Mus musculus: one gene and its partners. The protein of the gene in region 1 interacts with the protein of each later gene in a pairwise test. Links are inferred from orthologs where the notes say so. Each region holds a gene or a part of one and is shown in the gene's direction. Other genes may lie near its edges.

Region 1 (4,151 bases):
GGAGATAAACTGATTGCTTTCTTTTGTACTAGCTGTTTGAACATGCTGTTTAATTCATGGGCTTCAAATAATTTTTTTTTAAAGGGCAACAATAGTTTCACTGGAAGACTTTGAACAAAGGCTAAATCAGGCCATTGAACGAAATGCATTCTTAGAAAGTGAGCTCGATGAAAAGGAATCTTTGTTGGTCTCAGTACAGAGGTTAAAGGATGAAGCCAGAGGTAAGCTCTATCACTTAGCCAGTGTTTACCCATTGCCTGTGCCTGAGTAAGCACAAGGACTGACTAACCCCTCTGATGGTGCTAGGGGTCACCCCGGAGCTTGAGCAATTGGGTAAGCACTCTGCTCCTGAGCTGTGTTCCAGCCCTCAGTTTCTCGGAAGCTCTAGTTCTATATGCTTTTACATAGCTTTCAATCGTTGTGCCAAGTGCTTTTAACCTGGTCAATTATCTCATACCCATAGCATCAGTGCTGAGGAGTAGGTAGAACCTCCATGTTATAGGTGAACAGAAGGAGGCACAGAGAGTTGGAGCTTTTTCACTGTTGTACTGCTCTCAGTTGGGATTTTTCTCCTTATTAATTGTATTTAAATAACTCGTTATTTACATAGAACCATATATATATATATATATATATATGTGTATATATATGTTGCTGTTTACATATTATTCATGTAACTCGTACACACTTTCTTTTAAACTTCTTTCTCCTCAGAAACAATAAAATTGAGAATATTATAAAGAAGTCCCCTAACAGTGTGACATAGTTTACTTTTTTATGATTGTATATGTCTGTATATTTTCCCTTAAATAATTCCTGACTTTCCTATGAGCAGACAGAAATGGACACATACATTTCTCTTTTTTTTCTACTTAATATAGGGAATATACATGGCATCACAATTTTTTTTATAAATTTATTTTATATACAGTCTTCTATCTGCATGAATGCCTGTAGGCCAGAAGAGGGCATCAGATCCCATTACAGATGGTTGTAAGCCACCATGTGGTTGCTGGGAATTGAGCTCAGGGCCTCTGGGAGAGCAGCCAGTGCTCTCAACCTCTGAGCCATCTCTCCAGCTGTGGTATGGAAAATTTTAAAGCAGGCTTTGGGTCTGGAGAGGTAATGGCTCAGCACTGGGAGCATGTACTGCCCCTGCTCTTGTTTCCTATATAATTCTCTGAATCTCATTGTGCTAAGGAGGAGAGAGAGATGTTCTACAGAAAGTGTGTTTAACTATATGTCGTCTCTTCATCTCTTTTTATAGATTTTCAGTGTCTTTTAATTTTCTTTTTCCTGAGGGTGATGCATTCATCTGAAGGTTTTTTTTTTTTTTTTTGTTGTTGTTGTTGTTAGAGTTTTTAAAAGGTTGATTTATGTGTAAGGGTGTTTTGGCTGCATGCATGTGTGCCACTTGGCATGCTTGCTGCTCTCGGGTGCTGGAAGGTGGCATCAGATCCCTGGAACTGGAGTTCAGATAGTTGTGAGCTACTATGTGGGTGCTCGGAATCAAACCCTAGTCTTTTGGGAAAGCATTGAGTGCTGAGCTATCTCTCTAGCCCCTGAGGAACTGTTTTAATTTTTGTAATATATAAAGTATTAACTTGGTATTGTTTGTGTATAGATTTTGTTTTACAGTGGTAGGAGTGAACACAGGGCCTGTGCATGACAGGCTCCATCCATCCCCAGTCTTGTTCACTGTTGGTTTCTCAAGTGCTAGAATTAAAAATTAAAAGTGTACCACTATACTGAGATGGTTTTTAAATTATTATTATATTTATGTGACTGGTTAGTTTAACTTTAGTGTCCTCACGGTTTGTTTATGTTGTTGTGACCTGATTTTTTTTTTTATTTAAAATTTTTTTTATCATTTTATTTTATTTTTTTATATATATATTTTTATTACGTATTTTCCTCAGTTACATTTCTTTTTTTTTCCATTTTTTATTAGGTATTTAGCTCATTTACATTTCCAATGCTATACCAAAAGTCCCCCATACCCACCCACCCTTATTTAAAATTTTTTTAAAATGGCATTTGTGTGTGTGTGTGTGTGTGTGTGTGTGTGTGTGTGTGAGTGTGTGTGTGTGTGTGTGTGTGTGTGTGTGTGAGAGTGTGTGAGTGTGTGTGAGTGTGTGTGTGTGTGAGTGTGTGTGTGTGAGTGTGTGTGTGTGTGTGTGTGTGTGTGTGTGTGTGTGTGTGTGTGAGATGCCTGTGATGTCTGTACCTGCGTCTGCCTGCATGGGTATAGAAGCATTAGTATGGAGTTCAAAGGACAATTTTTGAGAATGTGTTCATTCCCCTATCTTACAGAAAGTAGATTAAAAATTCCACTCTAGATCATTTTTTTTTTCTCTTCTGTGAATGGGCTGTGGGGTTGCTTGCATCTTTAGTTCTTGTGAACAAGGCTGTTGTGGATATAGATTGCATATATCAGTTTGTAATTCTATTTTTACTTTTTTGATCTCAAAAGTGAAATAACATATAGTATCCTTTGTTTTGTTTTTGCTTTTCTTTTTTTTTTTTCAAGACAGGGTTTCTCTGTGTAGCCCTGGCTGTCTTGGAACTTCCTCTGTAGCTCATGCTGGTCCCAAACTCACAGAGGTCTGCTTGCATCTGCCTTCCAAGTGCTGGGCTTAAAGGCATGCGCCACTGCCGTCTGGCCTGTTTTTCTTTTTCTGCAATAGGGTCTTTCTGCATAGCCCTGGCTATCCTGGAACTTTCTGTGTAGACAAGGTTGGCTTTGAATTCTCAGAGATTTGCCTCTTTATATCCTTTTTCTTTTAACATATGAAGATATTTTCAGGGTAGGTATATAATTGGAAATATTAAAAATTCAGTATTGAAAAATGATTTCATAGTGGTAGTTTAAAAAATCTGAGATGTGGTAATGCATGCCTTTAAACCTGGTATACTGGAAACAAAAACAGTTGCATCTTTGCAAGTTTGAGGCCAGCCTCATCTACATAGAGAATTCCAGGCCTACCAGAACTGTATAGTGAGATCTTGTTTAAACCAAATAATAAAAAAATAAAAAAAACTATAAAACTTTGTAAAGCTTCATTGGCATTTGGTAGTAATCTTCACGGCAACTGCATATGCACAGTTGGTTAGGGATGTCCCGTGTTACTTAGTTTCTCTGTGAGTTCTAGTTGTGTCTTTTTTTTTTAAGATTTATTATTTTATTTGTGTATATGTATATGCCACTTATGTGCAGGTGCCTGCAGAGGCCAGAAGAGGGTATCAGATGCTCTTGGAGCTAGAGTTATAGGCATCCGTCTGACATGGATTGGGAACTAAACTTGTCCAGTGGAAAAGCCATCTCTTTAGCCCTCACTGCTCAATTTCTTTTTACCTTTGGGCATAATACTGTTCTCTGAGAGGTTATAGCATTTTAAAATTCTTTCTTTTAAATTATTTTTATTTTGTGTGTGTGTGTGTTGTGTGCGTACACTAGCCACTGTGGAAGTCAGAGGACATCTTGTAGGGGTTGGTTCTCTCAGTCTCCCATGTCTGTCTCAGGGATGGAACTCTGGTTGTCAGGTCTGGAAACAAGTGCCGTAACTACTAAGCCATCTCACTACTTTGTATTTTTAAGTTCTAGGGGAGTTCACATTTTGTTAAAGAGATAAAAATTTTTAGATAGGAAGCTTGTTTTGAGAACTAGTAACATAGGAGGAATGTTTATATGATGTTTTTGTTGGGACTTGCAGGGTATATTTGCTCCCTCTAATGAGGATTCCTGCTTTTGTTTGCGACATTTTGCAGATTTAAGGCAAGAACTAGCAGTTCGGGAACGACAACAGGAAGTGACCCGCAAGTCTGCCCCCAGCTCTCCAACTCTGGACTGTGAGAAGATGGATTCTGCGGTCCAGGCTTCACTCTCCTTGCCTGCAACGCCTGTTGGGAAAGGCACAGAAAACAGTTTTCCTTCACCAAAAGGTTTGTATTTTCTCTTGAAGGCCATGTTAGATGATCAGTTTCAAATGTATTTGCTGGTGTAGCAGAGCTGCTACAGTTCTGCGTGAACGGCAGTTTACAAGTTACTGTAGTATCCAGGAAGCAGAGGAAGGATGGGCTTTCCAGGTCACTGATCTGTCGCAGTGGGATGGTGTCTGCGCTCAACACAAGAGCAGCTTAAGTAAAAGTTT
Region 2 (4,151 bases), on another chromosome or scaffold:
TCAGTGGATTTCAGACAGTTCACTGTAATATACTGTAATCTTGAGACAGGAAAATTCCACACGATTTTAGATCTCCTTTCAGCTGGTAGAGCCGTGTGTGAACAACTCCAGGTTGATATGTTTGGACACTTCCATAGGGAAGGTTTGTTACTCTTCTGAGACCAAGAATCCTCAGAGCAGAGGGTCCCTGTATCATGGGGCTGGGTATGTAACTCAGTTGGTACAGTGCCTTTGTAGCTTGCACGGAGTTAGTTCTAGGTCCGATTGTATCGATTGTAAACTAGGCACAGTGGTAGATGCTTGAAATCCCAACACATGAGAGGTAGAGACAGAAGGACCAGAAGTTCAAAGCCATCCCCACATGAGACTCTTTAAAAATGGGAGAGGGACCTCTAGAAGGAGATGTGTGTCCTCAGGGCCATTGGAAGTAGGCAGAGGTTATTTATCATCTGGCTTCCTCCAAAGACGTGTTTGTGTCATCCACCAATTTCTATTGTGGTAAACTTAGCAAGCCTGACTCTAGACTGAACCAGGTGGCAGGGTATTCAGTTTCCTCCTCTCTTTGTGGTTTATCCAGGCTTTGCTACTCAATGGCTCTCTGCCGGAGGATGAACAGGAGCGACCCGTGGCTCTTTGTGAACCAGGAGTCAATCCCGAGGAACAGCTGGTAAGCGCCAGGCCTGGCTCCTCTCACACCTGACCTCAGCTTCTTGAAGTACTCTCTCCTGACTCCTAGAGTTTGTCTGCCATTCTTGGCCTTCCTGGCTTCCCCATTGATGTAGTCAGCAGATGTTCAGAAAGATGCTCAGATGTGCTGACTCTGGGTCACACGCTAGTCCACGGTGCTAGAGCTATGGTAATGACCAAGGACACCTATGGCCCCACTCCCCTTCAGATGACAGCCCAGTCCCCTGGAGACTTCCTTTTCTCTATGTCGTGATGTGGAGCTCCTCGGCATCCCTGTCTGGGTCGTCGTCGATTTTACACAGTCACTGGTCAGTGTTTCTGCCTTCTGTGTCTTCACTCACTCTGTGCCTGCTTCTCATAGATGGATTTCCAGTTCAGATCTCTGCAGAGTTGTAGAGCTGTGTGCAGCAGACAGCTCATTTGTGGGTGCTCGGTGTCAGTGTGTCCTCTGCTAAGTATCTCTGTCCCCTTCTTAGCCACTGACTCTGTTTGTCCTTATGTTTGTGTTCCCATCTCCTCGTTTACTCGGAAGCCCCGAACAGAAACCTGGACGCCATCCCTGAGTTCTTCTGATCCTCCCTTCACACCCAGTGTCTCCATTAGCTCAGCCACTACTTAGTTCAGGCCTTCACTCATCCAGCATCCTAGCAGCCTCGAGATAGGTTTTCCTGACTTGAGATTCTTCTTCTAAACTCTTCTTGTTCATCTCAGCAGTTAAGAACATTTAACTGGAATTTAATTTCCAGCCCCCTTATCAGGTGGCTCCCTGCAGTTCTAGGGATCTTCTGCCTCTGGCCTCTAAGGCTCCTGTACTCAATGAGCATATACCCACAGACACGCACACACACACAAATAGTAAAAATAAATATCTTTTAAAAACCCAGATAAACCCTTGTGTTAATTCCCTACTGTCCTCATTGGCCCTTCCTGGTCTGGCTCCCGTTGTCCTTTTCTGCTTCATCTCCTCTTTCCCTGATTCCATCTGCTTCTCCTGGTACACACACACACACACACACACACACACACACACACACACACACTGTAAATTTCATCTGTATTGTTTGGAGCATTTGCTTGTAAGAGGGCATGTGTTCCCGGATGGAAGTGGTGTCTCGTAGGTGTCAGTGAGTATTTGTTGAGTGAGTGGCCGATGAACTTCATGACCATCTTGTCTTATGTTCAGATTATAATCCGAAGCCGCCTGGATCAGAGTGTGGAGGAGAATCAGGACCTTAAGGTAGGGGAGGACTTGCATATTTTCCCCTTCGAAAGTAACCGTGGGGACGTAACATGCCAGCTTTGGGGCATTCTGGAGCGGGCTAGGGATGCGGTGCCGGGGCGAGCTGAACCTTACCTATGCTGTCTGTCTTTGGAGGAGAGAGACACATCTGACCTGTTGCTCACGGTGACAACTTTTTAATTTTAACCCTACATAGTAGTTATCTGTTCTGTTCTGTAAGTTTGAAATTTTTCTAGATTCCTTTTTGTAATTTAATCAGTAGAAAAAGATGACTCTAGATTGGGCATCGTGGTACATAAATTCAAGTTTAGCCTGGTCTACATACTGAGTTCCAGGCTAACCAGAGCTACATAATGAGAGCCTGCCTCAAAAAGGGGAGAGAGTGTCTAATGTTAGTGTAGTTCTTTTTAATGAATATTTTCTTACAGGTCAGTGGTAGAGAGCATTGTGACTGAACACATCTCCCGTGACATGTGCTTATGTGCACACATACACACTTAGACCTCCATTTTTTTTTTTATAACTTTTGATTCCATCTGTTGGAGGCCAGGTTACAAATCCCACTTTAGATAAGCTAATTATGAATCCTTTCTGTGACACAATAGCGAGAGACCCGAGTCTCAGTAACAGGCTTTGCTTTTCTCAAATCTCTGTTTTTAGTTGCAGTCATATATATGGAAATTCAGTTACTCAGTTTCCCATTATAAAGCCAAGTGCTTTTTTGTTTGGACCACAAAGAACAATAGCCTCAGTCCAAAAAAGAAGAAGAAGAAGAAGACAATAGCCTTTTGGAGAATAGAAGCATGCCAACCCTTTGCTTAAAAGTTAAATAAAATCAAAATAAGTATTTGGCAGCAGAAGAGATAGCATATCACAGATTTGAACGGAGATTCGGATGATGTTATCCGGTTCTCCTGTTAACAAAGATTGCTGTGTGGAGAGAGCCTGTCTGTGGGTCCGGATGGGATGGGGTGTCCTCTGACTGCCTGGGCATCTCAGTGATGGGTGCCTAGAGAAGAGAGGGTCAGTCTTTACGGCTTACAGGACTGGACCTGCTTTGTGCCTCAGCTGATGGGTTAATCTTCGTGGAATGGCCAACTGGGTTTTGTCTTCTTGCTGACAGAATGAGGTAATGCTTATGAAGCAACTCAGAAGCCACCGTCTGATCTCTCTATGTTTGGTTTGTAGAAAGAACTGCTGAAATGCAAACAAGAAGCCAGAAACCTACAGGGGATAAAGGTAAAATGAAGACATTGAATTCCTTCTTTCTGTCTTTTTAGTTTTATTTATTTATTTTTTTTTGTAAGCCTCTGTGAGGTAATGTGGTCTATCAGTGAGTTTTGAGAACAGGGCACCCTAGGGACTATTGGGGTTTTGCTAGGGGTCTTTAACAGGCTTGGTGCTAGGGGTATAGAAAGGACTTTGCGGTGGGTAGCAAGACATGCTGAGGAAGATATCTTGGTTTTTGCTGAGGCTTATGTCTCCTAGTTGTGACTCATGGTGCTGTCACTTGCCTCTGGGCCACCTTGCTTTGCTCTATGTGAAGGCACTCTCAGTTCGTAAAAATGCCCTTTTTAGGAAAAAAGAAACAGGAACCATGTTGGGGTGGTTAATAACATTCAAGTGGTTTGAAAACACAAAAGAATAGACTGTGAAAGCTCTCCCACCAGCTCTGCCCCCCTGACCCCCACCCTACCACACCCACTGCCACCACAAACTGTTTTCCCCACTTGAGGCAACTTATCAGTTATCCAGTCTATCTGTTTAACATTTTCTCCCACCTTTCACCCCAAATTACCGTGTACCTGGGGACATCTGCACACCGCTGCTCTCACTGAGCAGTGTGTTTGGGCGAGCGTTCTACTTTAGTCAAACCATCTTCGGGTTTCTTTACACTTGCGTTGTGTTTTTCTTTTTAATTTTTTTATGTGTGTGGGACTTTCCCCTGCATGTATGTCTCTACCACTTGCATGCCTGGTAACCAAGGAGGCCAGAAGAGGGTGTTGGATCCCTGGAACTGAAGTTACAGATGGCTGTGAGTCTCCACGTGGTGCTGGGAATTGAGCTCGGGTTCTTAGGAAGAGCAGCCAGTGAACTTAAGGACTAAGCCATCTCTCCTGCCCCCATAACAGTCGTGTGTGTGTGTGTGTGTGTGTGTGTGTGTATTATATATATATTTACTCATTCTCCTCTTGGTGGTATTTTGGACTAGCCACTTTAGGGG
Region 3 (4,151 bases), on another chromosome or scaffold:
CAGCAGCCATTGACACTCATGGAGGCTCACACCAGGATCCTGTCCAAGGCTCAGGAACCATGTCACTCTGTCCTCACCAAGACCACACTGGGTTGGCATCCCCTCCCTTTCTCCTCACAATCTGCCCTGACATATAAGTTTGCTGTAGGACCAGGCACAGAAAGAAAGGTACAGCTCTTATCCTTAGGGGCCACAAGTCCAACAGTTAGAACCAAGAGATAAATAATGCTTTAAATATGGCGTGGAAATACTAGAGACCATGTATTACTCAGGGCTGTGAGAACATAGAACTGTTCTTTGTTGGATGTGATCTTCAGGGAAGACGTGTGGGAAGCAAGGCCTGACTAGAATCACGTGCTCAATCTTGCTCTGCCTGTAGTGGTCAATAGGGATAACTGGTGCAACCCTCCTGGACCAGAAAATCAAGATTCCCATTCCCTAGTCTCAGATGGATGCAGGCTAGAGAACAGCTCTAAGGAAGGTGGGGTGGCTGATCTTTTCTGGCTTGGAGCAGTGTTGCTGTAACTGTCCCCCTCATTTGTTCCAAGTATCTCTGAGAGTTCCTTGTGATGAGCACAGTACCACTCCTCTCTGATCTTTCCTCTCTTGCCTCATACTAGAAGACCAGAGGGAGGTAGGGAGCCTTCCAGGGGCTCCATCCTTTTCCACTTATCAATAAAATAGAAGGATCCCGTAGCAAGGAACAAATTAGGGGAGAAAATGAAGTCAGCTATGCAGGTTTCAGCTATGGTTGGAAGTTATTCCTGTACTGGATCACACTCCTTGACATGGGCATTTCCTGAGACGTATCTCAAATGACCCACTTCACATTAAAGGTTTGATCACTTGTTACAAAAGGGCATAGGAAGCCTAGAAATAGCTACTGTTTATTCAGCACCGTGTGTTACTTCTTTCTTTCTGTGATGAGACACCATGGTCAAGGCCACATATAGAAGAGAGTTTATTAAGGGCTTAAAGTTTCAAAGGGTGAGTCCATGACCATCATGGTGAGGAGCATGGCAGCAGGCAGCTCTTGGTTCTAGAGCTGTAGTTGAGAGCTTACATCTTGACCCACACAGCACAAGGCAGGAAAGTGACTGAGAATGGTATGGGCTTTTGAAACCTTCAAAGCCTGCTCTAGTGCCACACCTTCTCCAGCAAGGCCACACCTCCTAATTCTTCCCAAACAGTTCCAGCAGCTGGGGACAAGTATTCAAACATATTTGACCATGCCTCAAATCTTCATTGCCTCACCTGGCTCTCACAAGCCTGCCAAAGAAGTAGGTCTTATTTTGTCATTGATGTTGCTGTTGGCAGCCAGTTGCTATGCCCACCTTAAAAGGCGGTGCCTTTCAGGAAAGCCAAATCACAGAGGGTTTAAGTGATGACCTACAGCCACCAGCTGGTAAGAGGCAGAACCAGAACAGAAATCTGCTTATGGTTGGCTCCACTTAGCCCATTTTCAATCTGTCTTTAAAAGTTGGCAAGCTGTTAGAAAGGCAAAAGAGTTAAGAAGTGATCAGATATGCTGAGAGCAAACCTTTCCTCTTTCACATTTCTCCCATCTAAAAATGTTAAAAAGTGGAAATACTTTTAATGTATATGAGGCTCACTATAGGCACCAGACTTTTCTTTTCCTTTTCTTTTCTCTTCAACCTAACCTCTTAAAGCCAGGTTAGACCTTAGAGTCAACAAAACGGTGTTGTGTAAGGCTGTAAGGATTTCTCCTGCCGTGTAACTCATTTGTAACTTGATTCATTCTAGTTCTGAATGTGGCACTTACTTTGGGCTCTAAAATACATGTGTGTTGCAATACCAAGCTTTATTAATAAGAGACCTCCTAGAACTTTTTAAGCTATGTGCATGGGTCATTTCTCTATTTCTCCCCCCACCCCTCTTTGCTGTCAGGATGGATGACGGCCGACTCTTGGACTACCTTATGAATCATGATGAGCTGATGGAAGAAAAGGTAGCTTTCTACATTCGAGACATCATGGAAGCTCTGCAGTACCTGCACAACTGTAGGGTCGCACATTTGGACATAAAGGTAATAAAAAGTCAGTGCCTGTTACAGTGAAATAGACGGGTTCAGCTTCCCAGACATTTCCTTGAGGAATACAAAATACAAAATTGAATTTCTTTTTATTGTTGTTGTTTTGTTTTTATAAAGACAGGGTTTCTCTGTCCTGGAACTCATTCTGCTGACTAGGCTGGCCTCAAACTCAGAGATCTGCCTGCCTCTGACTCCCAAGTGCTGGGATTAAAGACATGCATCACTACTGCTAGGGGGAAGATTTACATTTCTTTTGTCTTTCCTGTGATGTCATGTGACTATTAAACTAGAACTAGACTTTCACTCTACCTAAGTGCATTGTTCAGGAATGAAGGAAACACACCAGAGAGATGGTGGCACACGGGGTAAGGGAAAGCTTTAACCAAGCAGTCTAACTTTATAGACATCACTTAATGTCCTGTTCCCATTCATTCTGTAAGAAAAAGGAGCTTCGGAGGGCTGGAGAGATGACTCAGTGCTTAAGACCCAAGTTCTCTTGCCAGCACTCATATTGCTTGGCTCACAACCACCTGCAACTCCAACTGTAGTAGACCCAGTGTTTTCTTACGGCCTCTAACAGCACCTGCACGAACATGGAATACACTCATATAGATACGTACACATAAAGAAAAAAAATTTTTTTCCAAGAAAGGGTTTCTCTGTGTAGCCCTGTCTATGCTGGAATTCACTCTGTAGATCAGGCTGGCCTCCAAATCAGAGATCCATCTGTTTCTTTTTCCCAAATGCTGAGATTAAAGGCCTGTGTTATCACCACCCAGCAATACACGCACGCGCACACACACACACACACACACACACACACACATATATACACACACACAGACATATACATGTATACACACACATATACATACACATATACATGTATACACACACACGTGCGTGCACACACAGTTTCTGAGAAGCTTGTTTTTTTCTTAAAAATTTAGTTCTTTCCTTGATTCACTGCAAGGCAAGGGTAGGTAAGAAGGCATGCTCTTCTGGAATACGTGTGTGACTTAGTAGCAGAACACCTGCTTAGCATGTGTAAGGCCCTGGGTTGGATCTCTAACACTAGGGTGGGGAAGTACAGGCTGAGTGCTGCAACCCTTACCTCTAAGCTCAGCAGTCAGTAGACAAAGACAGAAGGATCTCTGTAAGTTCTGGGCCAGCCTGGTATACAGAGTAAGTTCTGGGCCAATCAGGAGTACACGATTAGCCCTGTACTCCTTCCCCAATGCCAACCAACTTATCTAAAAAGCCACCTAACCCCAGAGTTTAGTGAGTTTGAAACCTCCTTTGCCTTTGCATAGGGAGTATTCCACATGACTGAATCAAAGAATAATAATCTGTGTTAGCTAACAGATTGCAGCTGGGGTAGGGAGGTCAGCAAAGACCTCATCTTACCTCTCTTGTCCCTGCCTTCCTGGGTCCCTGCAGCCCGAAAACCTGCTCATTGACCTCCGGATCCCAGTGCCTCGAGTGAAGCTCATCGACTTGGAAGACGCTGTCCAGATCTCAGGCCACTTCCATATCCACCATCTGCTGGGGAACCCTGAGTTCGCTGCCCCCGAAGTGATCCAAGGCATCCCTGTCTCCCTGGGCACAGACATCTGGAGCATCGGGGTTCTGACATATGTCATGCTTAGTGGGGTCTCCCCCTTCTTAGATGAGAGCAAAGAGGAAACCTGTATCAACGTGTGCAGGGTGGACTTTAGCTTCCCCCACGAGTACTTCTGCGGTGTGAGCAATGCTGCCAGGGATTTCATCAACGTAATCTTACAGGAAGACTTCCGGAGGCGGCCCACAGCAGCCACGTGCCTGCAGCATCCCTGGCTACAGCCCCACAACGGCAGCTACTCCAAGATCCCCTTGGACACCTCCCGTCTGGCCTGCTTCATAGAACGCCGCAAGCACCAGAATGATGTGCGGCCCATTCCCAATGTCAAGAGTTACATCGTCAATAGGGTGAACCAAGGGACCTCGCTATCCCACAACCCCTGAGGTTTCACATAGTAGTGCAGTGTGAACCAAAGCAAGACTGAGCGTGTCTGTAAATAACTCTGATCATCATTTCACTCCATGTGGTTCTCTGGAC
Region 4 (4,151 bases), about 37 Mb from region 1:
CCACCCGTGAGGGCCAAGGCTTGCGCAGGTGCAGGTGGTTCTGGGAAGATGTTCGGGCTACGTCTTCAATTCTGCACTCCAACAGGGCCCCCACCCCGAAGGATAAACTACCGTGGCAGCTGTCCTCAGGGCTTGGCTGACTCGTCCTGGATTCCCTTCAGGGAGCATTGCTATTCTTTCCACATGGAGGTGCTGTTGGGCCACAAGGAGGCGCTGCAGCGCTGTCAGAAAGGTGGGTGAGAGCAGCCTAGCCCAGATCCGGGACTCTGAGGCCTGGAGAAAGAACTTCCCCTCTGCCTATAGGCACTTATCTCAAGCTCCCCTCGCTGTTTAATACACAGACCATGTTGTGTCATCTACAGAATATCCCACGGTCCACAAGTGCTGAGATTCACACCATCTTGCACTTGAGCTGCCAGAGAAGAGTGCCGGGGTTGCTGTGAAGCGGGAGGGGGGGGAAGTAGTTTGGGGGGGGGGTCTATCACCATAAGGAGAATCTGCTTGTCCTGACATGGGCTTTCTTTGTGTCCAGCTGGTGGGACGGTTCTGTCCATTCTTGATGAGATGGAGAATGTGTTTGTCTGGGAGCACCTGCAGACAGCTGAAGCCCAAAGTCGAGGTGCCTGGTTGGGCATGAACTTCAACCCCAAAGGTGGGTGCTCTGTGTACGGGAAGGGAAGGGCTCAGGCTGCAAGAGGGATGCTTACCACTGTCTCCAGGCTTGTGAAAGTACAGCAGTGGATCGTGGTTATCGCCTCCCACCTAGAAACCCCCCTTCCACCTATTCCCATTCCCACACCTTCCCAATGGGTTCCTTCCACAGGAGGCACGCTGGTCTGGCAAGACAACACAGCTGTGAACTATTCTAACTGGGGGCCCCCTGGCCTGGGCCCTAGCATGCTAAGCCACAACAGCTGCTACTGGATCCAGAGCAGCAGCGGACTGTGGCGCCCCGGGGCTTGTACCAACATCACCATGGGAGTTGTCTGCAAGCTCCCTAGAGGTAAGCCAGGATCTCGGTCAACAGCTGGGCCCATAGCTGGACTCACAGCTGGATGTCCAGCTGGGTCTAGGGTTACTTGATATACAGGGGCATCTGCTTTGGCCGGAGGGCATCAAGTACATTAGTTTGCAGCAAGGACTGACGCAGGGCCTCAACTTTCCAAAGTACACATAAGCCCAGAGGACAGCAAGCCCCATCATTCTATAGTGGTTAGGGACAAGGGATGGTCAAGCCCTGGACACTCACGTATTGACTCTGAGGCCTGGGGATATAGTCCATTTGGTAAAGTCACGCAAGCACCAGGATCCGAGTTAAGATTCCCAGCACCCCAATAAAATCCCAACATTGAGTGCCATCACCTGTAACCCTAAGACAGAAAGGGAGACGTGTATTTGTGTTTTATAGGCCCCTGGAGCTCATTCACCAGCCATGAGCTGAATCCATACGTTGTAGGTTCAGTGGTAGACCCTGCCTCAAAACACCGAGGTAGAGAGGCATCAAGGAAGACACAGTGCAATAACCTTGACCTCTGACCTCTACGCACATGCACACTCACAAGTATCTGCTTATATTCACCTATAAGAACACATACATAGACACACACACACCTGTCCCATCAGCTTCCTCATATATAGAACGGAAATAGTAGAAGCCAGGTCCTAGAGTCCTGGGAGGTTCAGTGACTCTGCAAGGTGACATTCACAAAGCAGTTCACAGGCACTTATTTAAATTGTGACTATGATTTCTGTGAGGACTGATTGTGATTCTCTGGCTCTCTCCTCTCCTACAGTGGAAGAGAACAGCTTCTTGCCATCAGGTGAGTGGAGGGAATGAGCGAGCCCCGGCCTGGTTCTTTCGCTGGCTCCTCTGTCCCTGTGGTCATGACTGGGGCCTGATGTGAACTCCCCACCTCCATCTCAGCAGCCCTCCCCGAGAGCCCGGTTGCCCTGGTGGTGGTGCTGACAGCGGTGCTGCTCCTCCTGGCCTTGATGACGGCAGCCCTCATCCTCTACCGGCGCCGACAGAGTGCGGAGCGTGGGTCCTTCGAGGGGGCCCGCTACAGTCGCAGCAGCCACTCTGGCCCCGCAGAGGCCACCGAGAAGAACATTCTGGTGTCTGACATGGAAATGAACGAACAGCAAGAATAGAGCCAAGGGCGTGGTCGGGGTGGAGCCAAAGCGGGGGAGGCAGGGGCCCCAAGGGCGTGGTCGGGGTGGAGCCAGAGCGGGTAAGGCAGGGGCCCCAGGTCAGCAGGCCCCCATCACCCATCAGCCCAGTTGTCTTTGGATGGCAACCCTTGGGAGTTGCTACTGGGTGCCGGGGGCATAGCTTGCCATGGGGTGGGAGTACCCAGCCTACCATAGAGGCTAGGCTGAGACTTGGCAGTGGGTCATGTTCCCCTTTCCCTTGGGCCTGGGATCGTGTCACCTGGACCTGGACCCCATGGCAACTGGAGGCAATATGAGAAGGGACATGAGCTTATTCATGTCTTTTCCTCCCCAGATCCCTGAGCCTAAACCTGCTGACCTGCAGCCTAGGATTCTTTCCTATCTGTAGGCCTGGAAAGCCTGCCCCGTCCCTTGGGGTGGCTCTCTGTCACCTCTCCTACTCGGCTACATCAGCTCTGTCTCCTCACCCTGCCCTCGTGCCTTTTTTTCCACCCAGTGCCTCCTTCTGAGCCATGGCCCTGGGACTTGGGTGATCTCTCTCTCTCTCTCTCTCTCTCTCTCTCTCATTCTCTCTCTCTTTCTCTCTGGGTGGGGGTCAGCTGAAGAGGCTGGCCAAGCATCTGTCACTCCTGTGCCTGCTGGAATGGACCTAGGGTATGGCAGGAGGGAGCCTAGGTGGCTCAGGTGTACAAACCAGGGCACCGGTGTGGTGTCTGCTGGAGTAGAGATGGAACTTCGGAGAGACACCTTATCCACTCACAGGGTGTCATCTCCTGCTGGTCAGGGGAGGGCTCTGTCCTTGAAAGAGTCCCCTGTGGGGACCAAAATAAGTTCCCTAATGTCTCCGGCTTCTGGCTCTGGCTTGGAGAGAGGGAAGATGGTTTGGAGGGGGAGGGGCGCTGGTGAGGCTGTAACCTGGGACAGCACCAGGTGCTACCATCTGGTGTGGCCTAGGAGACCAACTCATGGAACCACTCAGCACCTTTTTCCAGAGGAGAGTCCCAGCCAGGATGGAGAGTGCCAGTCCCCGTGTCCCAGTGCAGGACGATGTGAACAAAAACTCAAAGCGGACCCTCTATTGTAGTTCTTGATTCTCGAAATGTGCTATTATTGTTTGTCTTTTTTTTTTTTTTTTTAAAGAAGGAAAAAGAGAAAAAGAATAGCAAACAAATAAAAACCTTCCAGAGGCTTGAGAAGTCAGCGTTTGTGCCTCCTTCTCTGCAGAGTCTGACCCCCGCAGCCCTGTAGGGACAGATGGCAGCTCTGTCCAGTTGTTTCTGTAGCCTGCCATTTTGCCTCTGAGCTTTTGGCTCTCCTCAGGAGACAAGTCGTCCCTGCCTACAAGCGTGTGAACTTGGGCACCTGAGCTCATTGTCCCATCAGCTTGAATAGGGCGTAGAGGATCTCCTAGGGTTGGGCTGTCGGAAAGATGCTTAAGGATGTGGTGAGTGTCCTTACCAAGTGCCTCTGAGTGCATGCAGTAAGCACTCCATAAATGCTAACTGCTACTCTTATTTCTAAAGTTTTTTTTTATTACATTGTGTGTGTGTGTGTGTGTGTGTGTGTGTGTGTGTGTGTGTGTGTGCGTGTGTGTGTGTAGGGTGAGCAATATGAATACCTGGACCAGAGTGGGAGCAGAGGGTCCCTAATGTCTCAGAGGACCGACAGGGTGACTGCAGGAGTGTGGCTGAGTGGGTGCAGGCCAGGACGCAGTGGCATGGTGGATACTGTAAGGAAGGCTGCCAGTGGGAATGGCTGATCTGATCTTTAACAAGTTCATTGTAACCGCGGTAAGGGACACAGACAATGGATGGGAGATGGGGGAGGGGAAGCAGAGGAAGCCCTTGCAATCATTAAGACCTCAGAAGATGGTGGCTGGTTTGGCCTGGAACACTAGCGGTGGTTTAGAGGCGTTGTGCGTTCTCAGGCTTACCCTGTCCAGGACTTTTAAAATCTTAGTTCTACTTGTTTTGGATAGG
Region 5 (4,151 bases), on another chromosome or scaffold:
AATTTCATGATAAAGCAAACCACAGTTCTGTGTTCTTGACTCCTTTGGACAGTAGCAATTTCTGTGAACAGATGACCTTGTCAAGCAAAGAGGTCCGAGTGCACTTTGCTGAATTACAGGAGAAATTCTCCTGTTTACAAAGTGAACACAAAATTTTACATGATCAGCACTGTGAGGTGAGCTCTAAGATGTCAGCACTGCGTTCCTACGTGGACACATTAAAAGCTGAAAATTCTGCCTTGTCAATGAGTCTGAGAACCTTGCAGGGTGACTTGGTAAAGGAGGGGGAGCCTGCAGCTGAGGGTGGGCATGGTCTGCCACTGTCGTTCTGTGGGGCAGACAGCCCGTCTCTGACAAATTTTGGAGAAACGTCCTTTTACAAAGACGTTTTAGAACAAACTGGAGACACATGTCATCTAAGTTTAGAAGGGAACGCTTCAGCAAATTCTTGTGACTTGGATGAAGAGTTCTCCAGCAGTCTGGAGGAGGAGACTCTGACTGAGAAGGAAAGCCCACCTGCCCCTGGGAGGACTGTTGAGGGACTTGAAGTCCTATGCCAGGTGTACTTGCAGTCCCTCAAGAATCTAGAGGAGAAAACTGAGAGCCAAAGGATTATGAAAAATAAAGAAATTGAAAAGCTTGAGCAGTTACTGAGTTCTGAGAGGAAAGAGCTAAGCTGCCTTAGGAAGCAGTATTTGTCAGAAAAGGAGCAATGGCAGCAGAAGCTAACAAGTGTCACTTTGGAAATGGAGTCCAAGTTAGCAGAGGAGAAGCAGCAGACCAAGACTCTGTCCCTTGAACTTGAGGTAGCACGACTTCAGTTACAGGAGCTGGACCTGAGCTCCAGGTCTTTGCTTGGCACTGACTTGGAAAGTGTAAGTAGGATATACATGCTATTTCTCTGTGTGCATGCCTAGTTAAACTCAGTAAATGTTTATAGGATTGAATTCATATGAAATCAAAATTGGAGTATTTTTAGGGTTTAAAGAAATAAATGAAAACGTAACCAAAACCTTCCTAGAGCGAACCAGGACTCAAAAAAGTGAGGAAGCTATTTGAGGAATAAATGTCCATTGTGACTTGTTTTAAATATTTTATGGAAAAGCACCAAAAAATGTTTTTAAAGTCTGAAGTTGTAAATCTTTAGAATGTATGCTGTCTTAGTCACTGTTTTATTGTTGTAAAAGAGACACTAACCACAGCAACTCTTACAAAGGAAAGCATTTAGTTAGGCTGGCTTACAGTTTATCAGTTTAGGGAATTATCAGTATGGTAGGGAGTATCGTAGCACACAGGTAGAGATGGTGCTGCAGAGGTAGCTGAGAGTTCTAGATCCAGATCGTCAGGCAGCAGGAAGAGAAAGAGATACTGGGCCTTGCTTGAACATTTGAAACCCCAGCGCGCCCCCCTCCCCCCCCCCCCAGTGACATACTTCCTCTAACAAGGCTACAGCTAATCCCTGTTAAATATCACCACTCCCTAATGACCAAGCATTCAAATATATTAGCCTGTGGGGAAACCATTTCTATTCAAAACACCACATATACTGGAAATTAATAAGGTACACTTAAATATTAAGAACTTATGATCAGTGAGTGATGTGTTAGGGAGGCTTAGCTTTATGCCTTTCAGACTATTTTAGATGTTATAGTATTAGTTATTAAGCTAGATATAAGAAATTATTTAAATGTTATTTTTTGTTTTTAGCAGTTAGCAGTTAACAATGGTATCAGTTGCTTAAAGAGATTTATTTTATATTTTAGTTCCTTGTGGTTTTGTCTTTTCTAGTTGACCAGCTTAAATACCAATAATGCAGTACAGTTTTGGAATTCTGTGAGGTGAAGGTCATAGATCATTTTGAGGTGGTGGTAGGGGTGGTCATAATCAGAGTGCCCTAGTTTATATGAAATTGAGACAAAAACATGCAGTTTATCCAAGAAAGTACTGACTAGGATGAGGTCTTTGGGCAGACAATCTGCTAATAAACACTACTGCTTTTCTTAGTAAGTAAATGAGAACTTAGAACATGAGGACTAAGGATCAAAACATTAACCATTTTATCTGAAGTTTGTTAGCCTCTCTTATTTGATAACCACAAAAAACTACTCTTTTACGCTTCCTAAAACATTAAAAGCTATGAAAGATGTAATTTCCACATTAGATGTAGTGAAATAAATGTCCTGGAGGATTAATCTTTATGATAAATATCTTACCCAGTGCTTTGCACATAGGTAGAGCCCACTGAATGTTCATGTTGACTATCAAGACAGCAGGGTGGAATGAAGTGTTGAGAGTGATGCTATTTGGAGGGATATACATAGCAGTACCCATATGGGCAGTTTCTATAAAATAATAGTTAAACCACTGATTCTATTTTGATTCTTCTAAAAAAATAAAATGCTTTCTTGGTTTATATTATGTTTATAGGTTGTTCGGTGCCAAAACGATAATTATGATATAAAAGAATCAGAAGTATATATTTCAGAGACTACAGAGAAAACACCAAAGCAGGACACTGACCAAACTTGTGATAAAGATATTCAGCAGGACCTTGGTCTGGAAACTTCAGTCACTGAGAGTGAGACTACCAGGCTCACAGGAGAGGGGTGTGAAGAGCAGCCTCCGAAGACCAATTGTGAGGCACCAGCGGAGGACAAAACCCAGGACTGCTCAGAATGCATTTCTGAATTGTGTTCTAGTTCCAATGTTTTGGTGCCCATGGATGTTCTGGAAGATCAGGGGTCTATCCAGAATCTCCAGTTGCAGAAAGACACCTTAAATGAGAATTTGAGATTACTTCCTGAAGTAGAGGACTGGGACAAAAAAGTTGAAAGTTTGCTAAATGAAATTATGGAGGCAGATTCAAAACTGAGTTTACAGGAAGTACAGCTCAAGATGAAGATTGCAACATGCATACAATTGGAAAAAATAGTCAAGGACCTCAGAAAGGAAAAAGCTGACTTAAGTGAAAAGTTGGAATCCCTTCCATGTAACCAGGAGGTATGTCTGAGAGTAGAAAGGTCAGAAGAAGATCTTGGTTTTAATTTAGATATGGGAGCAAATGAGTTGTTAAGTAAATCTACTAAAGATAATGCAACCAACACAGAAGACAATTATAAGGAGAAGTTTCTTGATATGGAAAGAGAACTGACCAGAATTAAGTCTGAGAAAGCTAATATTGAGCATCACATCCTATCTGTGGAAACTAACTTAGAGGTGGTTCAAGCAGAGAAGCTCTGTTTGGAAAGAGACACTGAAAGTAAGCAAAAGGTTATTATTGACCTTAAAGAAGAACTATTTACAGTTATAAGTGAGAGAAACAGACTTCGGGAAGAATTAGATAATGTGTCAAAAGAAAGCAAAGCACTGGATCAGATGTCTAAAAAGATGAAAGAGAAAATAGAAGAGCTGGAGTCTCACCAAAGGGAGAGCCTCCGTCACATTGGGGCAGTAGAGTCTGAGGTCAAGGACAAAGCAGATCTTATTCAGACTCTGTCCTTTAATGTGGGTGAGCTAACAAAAGACAAAGCTCATCTCCAGGAGCAGCTGCAGAATTTGCAGAATGACTCACAAGAATTATCTTTGGCGATTGGTGAGCTGGAAATACAAATTGGACAACTGAATAAAGAGAAAGAATCACTGGTCAAGGAGTCTCAGAACTTCCAGATCAAGCTGACTGAGTCAGAGTGTGAAAAGCAGACGATCTCTAAGGCCTTGGAGGTGGCACTCAAGGAGAAAGGTGAGTTTGCAGTGCAGCTGAGCTCAGCCCAGGAGGAGGTGCATCAGCTGAGACGAGGCATTGAGAAACTGAGCGTCCGCATTGAGGCCGATGAGAAGAAGCACCTCAGTGCTGTGGCGAAGCTGAAAGAAAGCCAGCGTGAAAGCGACTCATTGAAGGATACAGTGGAGACTCTGGAGCGGGAACTGGAGAGGTCAGAAGAAAACCAAGAGCTGGCAATTCTTGATTCTGAGAATTTGAAAGCAGAGGTGGAGACCCTTAAGGCACAAAAGGATGAAATGACCAAAAGCCTGAGAATTTTCGAATTAGACCTTGTTACAGTTAGGACTGAAAGAGAAAATCTAGCAAAGCAGCTACAAGAGAAACAAAGTCGAGTGTCAGAATTAGATGAACGGTGCTCTTCCTTGAGAAG
Region 6 (4,151 bases), about 39 Mb from region 1:
GCTAGACACAGAAAATCAAAGACTACAAAAAGCTCTAGAAAATAGCAATAAAAAAATCCAACAGTTAGAGAGTGAGCTACAAGACTTAGAGATGGAAAATCAAACATTACAAAAAAGCCTAGAGGAACTGAAAATATCTAGCAAAAGACTGGAACAACTAGAAAAAGAAAACAAGTCATTAGAGCAAGAGACATCTCAACTTGAAAAGGACAAAAAACAATTGGAGAAGGAAAATAAACGACTCCGACAACAAGCAGAAATAAAAGATACCACATTAGAAGAAAATAATGTGAAAATTGGGAATTTGGAAAAAGAAAACAAAACTTTATTCAAAGAAATTAATGTATATAAAGAGTCCTGTGTTCGTCTAAAAGAATTAGAAAAAGAAAATAAAGAGCTTGTAAAAAGAGCAACTATTGATATTAAAACCTTGGTTACATTACGTGAGGTAAATATATTTACCTAAACTTAAGGCAATCATTTTTTATATTTGCAGCCCACATTTTATTGAACCCATCAGTAACTTGTGCCATTTTTTGTGTAGTTCAGTACAATTTTGGAACTAGAGCTAGAAACTACTTCTGTTTCCTATTCAGTTGACATTTTAAATTGTATTTTTAAAATTGTTAGTAATAAGGTATAAATGATTAGAGCAAGTGTTTTTTACCACTTGGCTAAGGATTCATATGTAAGTTGTAGTCAAGTAAATTTATATGATTTTTCACAGTCAGTCATTTAAATATTATTTTTATCTTTCACATTAGCAAACAGGTTCAGAAATATTAACTTACTCAAAAACACACAGTTAATAAAAGGAGTGGATTTCTGCATTTAATCTCAGATCTTTCAAACTCCAAAGCTCTGTGATGTTTGAGAAGCCTGAGAATGAAAATCAGGTTTAACTTAAATTTCAACATTGAACTATTGAGAATTCTCTCACTTGTAAGATTTACTTTGTGATAGTTCCTGTAATATGTGATAGGTTCATACATTAGATAATAGTTTACTTTTTCCCCCCACACATAAGTGCTTCATTAAAGTCCATGAGTGTGTTGGAGGTTCCATTATGGTTTTCACCACGTTGTTTGTTTACCAGGAAAGAGTTTCTCCTAGAAACTCCTTTATAACAGTAGCATTATAAAGAAGTAGCAACACACACACACTCGAGCTTATTTCTATTAAAAATGTTTTTTTTTTTTCAAAAAATAATTTGAGGAAGAAATGATGTTTTTATTTGATATTTTATTTATTTACATTTCAAATTTTATCCCCTTTCCCAGTTTCCCCTCCAGAAACCCCCATCCCATCCCTCCCCCTGCTTCTATGAGGGTGCTCACCCACCCACCCACTCCCGCCTCCCTGCCCTTGCATTGCCCTGCACTGGGTCATCGAGCCTTCACAGGACCAAGGGCTTCTCTTCCCATTGATGCCGAACAAGGCCATCCTCTGCTACATATGCAGCTGGAGCCATGGGTCCCTCCATGTGCACTCTTTGGTTGGTGGTCTAGAGTCAGCACTGTGATGTTCTTTCTATTCTTTTTTATTGTTTGAGTAATAGCCTTATGGTGCACAGACAGGTATCTAGCTCATCTTGAACACTGCCACCTCTGCTATGTATGTGGCTGGAGCTATGGGTCACTTCATGTGTACTCTTTGGTTGGTGGTTTAGTCCAAGAGAAGATTTTTAGGATTTTTAGGAATGATTTAGCTTGTTTATAATGTACCACTTGACTGCTGGAAAGGGTCAGTCACACTTCTTACCTGGTTCAAATTACGTCTGGTTGGGTTGTAGTTATTAGAATCTTGACTGACGTTCTTTTCTTGATACTTGAGTGAGTTGTACGTTCTTTCATTCTTTTTAAAATAAGGATTTAGTCAGTGAGAAATTGAAGACACAACAAATGAACAATGATCTTGAGAAATTAACTCATGAGCTTGAGAAGATAGGTTTAAATAAAGAGCGGCTCCTACACGATGAGCAGAGCACTGATGACAGGTAAGTGGGATGTGGAGAAAGTTCTGAAAGATGTGGACTGAAAGGAAATTTAGCTTTATTAATGGTTGATTCAGACTTGTTTTACATTTCTGTTTTTGGTTAATTATAGTCTTTTAATTAGGATTAATGTGATTTTTAAGATCTACAGAGCCACTTGTTTCAGATAGACTAGAGATCTACTCTTTTGTGGGCCAGTAAGATGGCTCATTAGGTAAAAGCCAAGACCAAGCCTCATAACTTAAGCTTGAGTCTCAAGACATACATAGTAAGAAAAATCAAATTTTCCAAGTTTTCTTCTGACCTCTATATGCATGCTATGGCACATATGCTTCTACACATGTGCACACCATGTATGCACACACACACACACACATATATACAAACAAATATAATTAAATTTTTTTCTATAAGAATATTTAGAAAAACAAAAACCAAAGCTGGGTAGTGGTGCTATATACCTTTAATCCCAGCACTCAGAGGCAGGCAGATTTCTGAGTCCAAGACCAGCCTTTTCTATATAGTGAGTTCCAGGACAGCCAAGGCTACACTGAGAAACTCTATAGCACTTGTTGACCTGCAGAAAACAGGGGGTTCTCTTCCCACAGCCATCTGTTACTCTAGTTCCATGGATCTGACACTTTTCTGATCTCTGTGGGCACCAGGCATGGATGTAAGTGTATATTCAGGGAAAACATACATACCATAAAATAAATACATCTTAAAAATATTTAAATTTAAAAATAAAAGTATTAAATTTCTAAGGAAATTTTGTATTCAATTTAATCAGAATGTTAATTGCCAATTTAATTGACTATCTTAATATAGGTGTCAAATATGTATTAATTTTTAATCAGATTACCTATTGTTTATGAAACATTTCATGTTGTTAGCAAAGCATGTATTGGCCTAAGTAACACTTTCATTAAAATTAATGAGCCCAGTTTAGACAGACCCTTTTTAAGACTTGCCACCTCTTCCCAAGCTTTAATTCATATAGGTAGCCAGTATTGATTGATTCTTAGAACAATTTAAAACATGCAACCAAGATACAATAACATTCATTATCCCACATTTCTATATATAAAGAAAGATTTTTGGGATAGAAACCATATATTGTGAACTAAAACTTTTAGGAAATGGGATCGAAAATATTTAATAACTAATTAAAGTTGGGCAAAATAGAAAAGAGTGTTCTGTTTTAAGCCACTAAATGTTTTCTTTCATTTGACTAGTAAGTAAGCTTTTATGTTAAAAATATAATAAAGGCTCACAGGTACAAACACTTTTTTAGTCTTTCATCTTCTCCATTTTGGAATTTTTGTCTATCAATTTCAGGTGATGTTCCTAGTTCCTTTGTTTCTCATCTTTCTAATTAATGTTACTACCACTTTGAAGATACTATCATTAAAGCACATGTAGCTTACTGGTGGGATCAAGTATATAAATACATAACAGTGAGTTTATTGTCAGTGTGGTGAACAGATGTAATTGGTTTTTTGTTGAACAAGCTTTTCTGTGATTTATTGTGTATTATCACCGTGCATACACATTTGCTATAATGCTATTATAACTTTAGTGGTCTATCTACAGCGCATCACCTAGTCCCAGGCCCTCTACATTTCTAATTCCAATTTTCTATGAATAAAATCTGGAGTGTAAAATAAATAAACAAACAAAGAAAAGAAAAAAAAAAGAAGTAAATTTTTTTCCAAAGATTCAGCAAATGAGTAAATCCCTTAAGAAAGTAAGTGTCTATTTTCTCAGTTTTCCATGGATGCTGTTCAGCTGGTTCAACGTTAAAAGCTGTGAGGAGCCTATAGATATGACACAGCCAGTGGGCACTACTTTAAACACAGAGGTTCTACTTTGATTCATGAAACCCACATTTTGGAAGGAGAGTTCCATTCTCAGAATTTGTCCTCTGATCCTTGGCATGCAGACACAGAAACACATAACAAATAAATAAAATGTAATTAAAGAGAAGTTGACTGGTAATATACAGTGGATATCAATATACAAGAGCTGAATTACTTTCAAGAAAACTGGTGTTAAACATTGGGGATTAAAATATGAAATCTAGCCAAGCGGTGATTGCACATGCCTTTAATCCCAGCACTGGGGAGGCAGAGGCAGGTGGATTTCTGAGTTCAAAGCC
Region 7 (4,151 bases), on another chromosome or scaffold:
CATCACCAATAGATCAGTAAGTAAAACATCTGGTTTCTTATTCATCAGCTATTTAACACTTATTTGCCTATGCAGACTCTAGGAAGTTTCTGTTTCTTTGGAGATAGGAGGAATATAAGCTTTTCATTTTACCTCCCCCAGATCCTTAAGGCTCAAAGCCTTTTGTGTTGCCCTGTGTCTATACTGCTAATTTCTAGCCCTATGCCAGCATAAGCTTTACACCCTCTCCTGGTTGTCTGCGCTGTGGAATGGACCAGGAAGTAAGGGGAAACAGCTAGCCGAGGAGCCATGCCCTTAAGACCTCTCCTAAATTGAAGGAATTCCTTTCCCTCATTCAGTAGTAAGGGCACTGAGACAGCAGCCTGAGAAGTTCCCTTAATCATTTAGGGACCTCAATACAAGGCACACTAGCATTTTGTAGCTTGAATGCAAAACAGAAATTTTGACATAGTGGATGTGAAATAGAGTTAAAGATTTTAATTTTAAAAATAGTTTAATATTAGCCTGAGAATTAAGGTTAAGAAAGAAAGCAAGGTGCTCACATGGAAGTAACACCTTAGAGCGCAGAGATGGGAAGTGAGATACACCTAAGTGTGGGTACAGGCCCTTCAAGGGAAAGTCGTGGTGGTTTTATAGCATTAGCCACCTGTGCCATCCTAGTGGCTCTCTGAAGGCATAATCTCACAAAGTTGCAGAGGGACCCCCCCCCCCCATAACTAAATGATATAAGTGGCTCTGGAGATTCTTTTGACAGAATTACGATCTGATAATGTAAAGCCGGAAGCCAGCAGGGCTGCACATGGCGTTTAATACATGGACGTGGTGTCTGTCTCCCACCAATGGAGTTTCTGCTGAGATTTCCAGGGAACTGTAAGATGATAGCTGAGAAGAGAGAGTCTTTCATTGAACTGCTAGTTGTACTGGTTTCTTCCTTCCTCAGTGGCAAGAGGCTTTAATGAATTCCCGAGTCAGAAACCCCTCTCCCTTTCCAGGCCTCATGAATTCTAGAATCAGGACTTTCTGGCTAACCATGCTTTCAGTGCCTTCAATACGACAGGTACAAGCCTGTGTGTGGGTGCCTCTCTAAGACAACCAGACAAAAAGGCTTGATTGGCATCAGGAAATAGGGACACATGTGCAAGCATAATCCAAATGGATTCAAACTGTTTAGCTTTCTGGTAACAACAGTCTTCATTCTCCCTCCAAGTAATTTGTGAATAATTATTACTCTCTTGAAATGTAAACATTTAGACACTTTGTTAGAAAGAGTTCCATCATAGTGAGGGGACTGTGTTCTGCTGTTCTCAGCAGCTCTATTGAGGCTCTTAGGATTGTTGAGTGTCTTTCTTCCTCACATGTGTAAGAGAAACACTGCCGGACAAAAATAAGAAAATAGAAAAAGACATTATCTAGGCTTTAGAAGTCTTTTTTCCATTTAAGAGATTAGAAATCAGATGCGGGGAGAAGGCTAAAGAGACAGGAGAGGGCCAGCCCTGCCTTCCAGCCCACATTCCTCAGAGATGAGTAATCAAGTGGATGAGAGCATGCTTCACTGAGCAAGGCCTGGCTTTCCCCTGAAGTGTTTGTGAAATAGTCAGCTGGGTCCTGACTTCACAGGCACAGTCATCATAGAAGAGCCGTTAATTTCTTAGCTACAAACTCACAATGCCAACACCGTAGCCTTGCTTTAGATTGCTCGGTGTCTGTGACTACACTGGCCCCACCCTCTGGTTTACACAAGCTCCCTTATCTAGTAGCGTTTGAATGTTTTCATTCCCTTGGACTTCTGAACAGCAAAAAATTCCAGAGCTCCTACCCTGGGAACACAACCTACCTCTGACCTGAATCAGAACTTCCTGGGACTGAACCAAGCCAGTGAGCCCCAGCACTGGTCAGCTCAGCGGCAGCATTGGGCTTTCCTAAAGGCTTCTCGCCATTGCTGGTTTTGTACTTTCCATTGTTTTCTTGTTTTGTTTGGTTTGGGGTTTTGTTTTCTTTTTGGTTTGGTTGGTTTTTGTAACTCGCTTGATTTCATTCAGGCTACCTGCAACTCAGAAAGAGAGATTACTGGCATACACTACTGGCACTTGGAAACACCCAGTAAATGTTTTGATAACCTCTGATCATTTGTCTTTTCTAAATGACAGCTTTCAACCAGCATTTCCAAACACTTAGATATAAACTTCAGTGTTTGTCATGCATCTGATCAGTGTAGATTGGCACGTTTGTATTCTAAATTACTTTAATGTTTTCTTAATTTCAGGGAACCTTCACCGAACCAGCAGTGTCCCTGAGTATGTCTACAAGCTACACGTGGTTGAGAATGACTTTGTTGGACGGCAGTCACCTGTCACTAGGGACTATGACATGCTTAAGGTGGGACATCAGAGAACATAATCCGTGACCAGATTATCAGGAAAACAATTTCAGACTTTTCGAGAAGGGAGTAATCTGTCTCAAGTGGTCTCCTTTCCCAGTTTTTAAGAATATTTGTGTAAACAATATGGAAAACTGGGACTTTAAAAGTTTGAACAATATTAAATTCTAATACAAATAACTATGACTCAGGGTAACACAAGGGTACTGACTTCCATTTTATTCAAAGAAATGGACATGTTAGATTGTAATCCCAAAGTCGGTCAGGTCAATATGCTTCATTTAAATTTCATTTCTCTCATACAGGCTGGAATGACTGCCACTTATGGAAGTCGCTGGGGGAGAGCAGCAGCACAGTACAGTTCCCAGAAGTCAGTGGAGGAGAGATCCTGGAGGCAGCCTCTGAGGAGACTTGAGATTTCCCCAGATAGCAGCCCGGAGAGAGCCCACTATGGGCACAGCGAATACCAGTATGCCTGGCGGAGCCACGTGGTGCCTGGTGGGCGCCTCACCCTGCCACGCTATGCTCGCTCAGAGATCCTGGGCCTACGCCAGGCTGGCACAGCCCGCAGGCCACCTGGGTGCGGGTCATTCAGCGATGCTGTCTTCGACAATGGCCCACTCAAGCCCACAATGCCCACCCACCCTCCTGGCACCAGCCACAGTGCGGGCAGCTTGTTGGAAGAGACCACTGTGCGCGTGAGCCAGGCTCGGCTTCAAAGCACGCAGAGCAGAACCGCCCGCTCCTCCTGGCCCAGGAGCTCAGTCCGCAGTAGCCTGCGGGAGCCAGGAAGAATGCTGACCACCGCAGGCCAGGCTGCCGTGGGCAGCGGGGATGCACATGGGGACAGGAGTGTCTTCGCTGACGCCCAGCTGGGGTGAGCCTCCAAACCTGCCTTACAGTTTTATACTGTGTATGCATTAACTTAACTTTTGCCCCAGTCTTCTAGCTTTTTGCTAATGTCTGACTCATCCTTGTATTCTCAGTACCATAGGAAGGAGGCAGGTTCACAAAAGACGCTATAAAAATGTATCCTGAAAGAGGAATGTAGGAGTGAAAGACCAAGATGAAATAATGACTTTTTGCTATCTGGATCCTTTTGTTACTTAAATTCTACAATCACTAGCCATACTTGTGTCAGAATATTATTTTAATGGACAGTGTAATTGTAATAGAATATTTAATCATGTTTCAAAGACTAATCTCTTCTGGAGATTCACAAATCCTAGAGACTAGGAGTTAACTCTTATTTCTGAAGGGAAAGTTTTGCTTCCTCTGGGAAAGAGAGGCAAATAGGCATCACTTTACAGAGGAAACAAACAATAGCAGTGGCCTTCCCAGTGGAGTCCTGCACAACTCGGAGCCTTGGCTGCTGCCACACACCTGTACACTGCATCCTTTGTCCTTATCCTGCTGTTTCACACTTCCCTGTGGCCAGACCCCATTTCCAGACTCTACCTTTTTATGCCCTCTGAGTATATCTTCATATGTGTGGGTCTTTCCTATGGAATATCTAAACACAACTGTCAACTTAGACTGTGATGCAAAGTACTAAGCCATGGGTTTAGTTTCCCAGAACATTGGAATGTATCAGTCAGTCAGTGACTGATGCAGTTGGAAACTGTCTTGAGGGTAGAGGAGACACTTAGCACTTGTCCAAAGCAGACTAATGAGAAAGTTTTTTAAAAAATTACCAAGTGAGGTGCTGGAGAGATGGCTCAGTGGTTAGGTGCACAAGCTGCTCTTCCAGAGGACCCAGGTTCAGTTTCCAGTA

What was found.
Region 2: the proteins of Ndel1 (region 1) and Dixdc1 interact in binary tests that used the Homo sapiens proteins (3 or more experiments, as listed by UniProt). The link is inferred for Mus musculus from reciprocal best matches to the Homo sapiens genes NDEL1 and DIXDC1.
Region 3: the proteins of Ndel1 (region 1) and Kalrn interact in a two-hybrid assay, tested with the Homo sapiens proteins (2 studies listed by BioGRID and IntAct). The link is inferred for Mus musculus from reciprocal best matches to the Homo sapiens genes NDEL1 and KALRN.
Region 4: the proteins of Ndel1 (region 1) and Mrc2 interact in a two-hybrid assay, tested with the Homo sapiens proteins (2 studies listed by BioGRID and IntAct). The link is inferred for Mus musculus from reciprocal best matches to the Homo sapiens genes NDEL1 and MRC2.
Region 5: the proteins of Ndel1 (region 1) and Cenpf interact in binary tests that used the Homo sapiens proteins (3 or more experiments, as listed by UniProt). The link is inferred for Mus musculus from reciprocal best matches to the Homo sapiens genes NDEL1 and CENPF.
Region 6: the proteins of Ndel1 (region 1) and Ccdc88a interact in a two-hybrid assay, tested with the Homo sapiens proteins (2 studies listed by BioGRID and IntAct). The link is inferred for Mus musculus from reciprocal best matches to the Homo sapiens genes NDEL1 and CCDC88A.
Region 7: the proteins of Ndel1 (region 1) and Pkp2 interact in binary tests that used the Homo sapiens proteins (3 or more experiments, as listed by UniProt). The link is inferred for Mus musculus from reciprocal best matches to the Homo sapiens genes NDEL1 and PKP2.

The regions. Positions count from the first base shown.
Region 1 is NC_000077.6:68,835,941-68,840,091, reverse strand, and holds part of Ndel1 (nuclear distribution protein nudE-like 1), read left to right. Parts: intron 1-84; coding exon 85-221; intron 222-3,768; coding exon 3,769-3,942; intron 3,943-4,151. UniProt on the Homo sapiens protein: Required for organization of the cellular microtubule array and microtubule anchoring at the centrosome. May regulate microtubule organization at least in part by targeting the microtubule severing protein KATNA1 to the centrosome.
Region 2 is NC_000075.6:50,686,376-50,690,526, reverse strand, and holds part of Dixdc1 (dixin), read left to right. Parts: intron 1-577; coding exon 578-667; intron 668-1,870; coding exon 1,871-1,924; intron 1,925-3,115; coding exon 3,116-3,166; intron 3,167-4,151. UniProt on the Homo sapiens protein: Positive effector of the Wnt signaling pathway; activates WNT3A signaling via DVL2. Regulates JNK activation by AXIN1 and DVL2.
Region 3 is NC_000082.6:33,975,422-33,979,572, reverse strand, and holds part of Kalrn (kalirin), read left to right. Parts: intron 1-1,908; coding exon 1,909-2,047; intron 2,048-3,493; coding exon 3,494-4,057; 3' UTR 4,058-4,151. UniProt on the Homo sapiens protein: Promotes the exchange of GDP by GTP. Activates specific Rho GTPase family members, thereby inducing various signaling mechanisms that regulate neuronal shape, growth, and plasticity, through their effects on the actin cytoskeleton.
Region 4 is NC_000077.6:105,347,775-105,351,925, forward strand, and holds the end of Mrc2 (C-type mannose receptor 2 precursor), read left to right. Parts: intron 1-85; coding exon 86-232; intron 233-532; coding exon 533-652; intron 653-823; coding exon 824-1,003; intron 1,004-1,793; coding exon 1,794-1,820; intron 1,821-1,924; coding exon 1,925-2,151; 3' UTR 2,152-3,371; downstream 3,372-4,151. UniProt on the Homo sapiens protein: May play a role as endocytotic lectin receptor displaying calcium-dependent lectin activity. Internalizes glycosylated ligands from the extracellular space for release in an endosomal compartment via clathrin-mediated endocytosis.
Region 5 is NC_000067.6:189,653,369-189,657,519, reverse strand, and holds part of Cenpf (centromere protein F), read left to right. Parts: coding exon 1-875; intron 876-2,427; coding exon 2,428-4,151. UniProt on the Homo sapiens protein: Required for kinetochore function and chromosome segregation in mitosis. Required for kinetochore localization of dynein, LIS1, NDE1 and NDEL1.
Region 6 is NC_000077.6:29,463,743-29,467,893, forward strand, and holds part of Ccdc88a (girdin), read left to right. Parts: coding exon 1-448; intron 449-1,868; coding exon 1,869-1,996; intron 1,997-4,151. UniProt on the Homo sapiens protein: Bifunctional modulator of guanine nucleotide-binding proteins (G proteins). Acts as a non-receptor guanine nucleotide exchange factor which binds to and activates guanine nucleotide-binding protein G(i) alpha subunits.
Region 7 is NC_000082.6:16,223,038-16,227,188, forward strand, and holds part of Pkp2 (plakophilin-2), read left to right. Parts: intron 1-2,263; coding exon 2,264-2,376; intron 2,377-2,682; coding exon 2,683-3,254; intron 3,255-4,151. UniProt on the Homo sapiens protein: A component of desmosome cell-cell junctions which are required for positive regulation of cellular adhesion.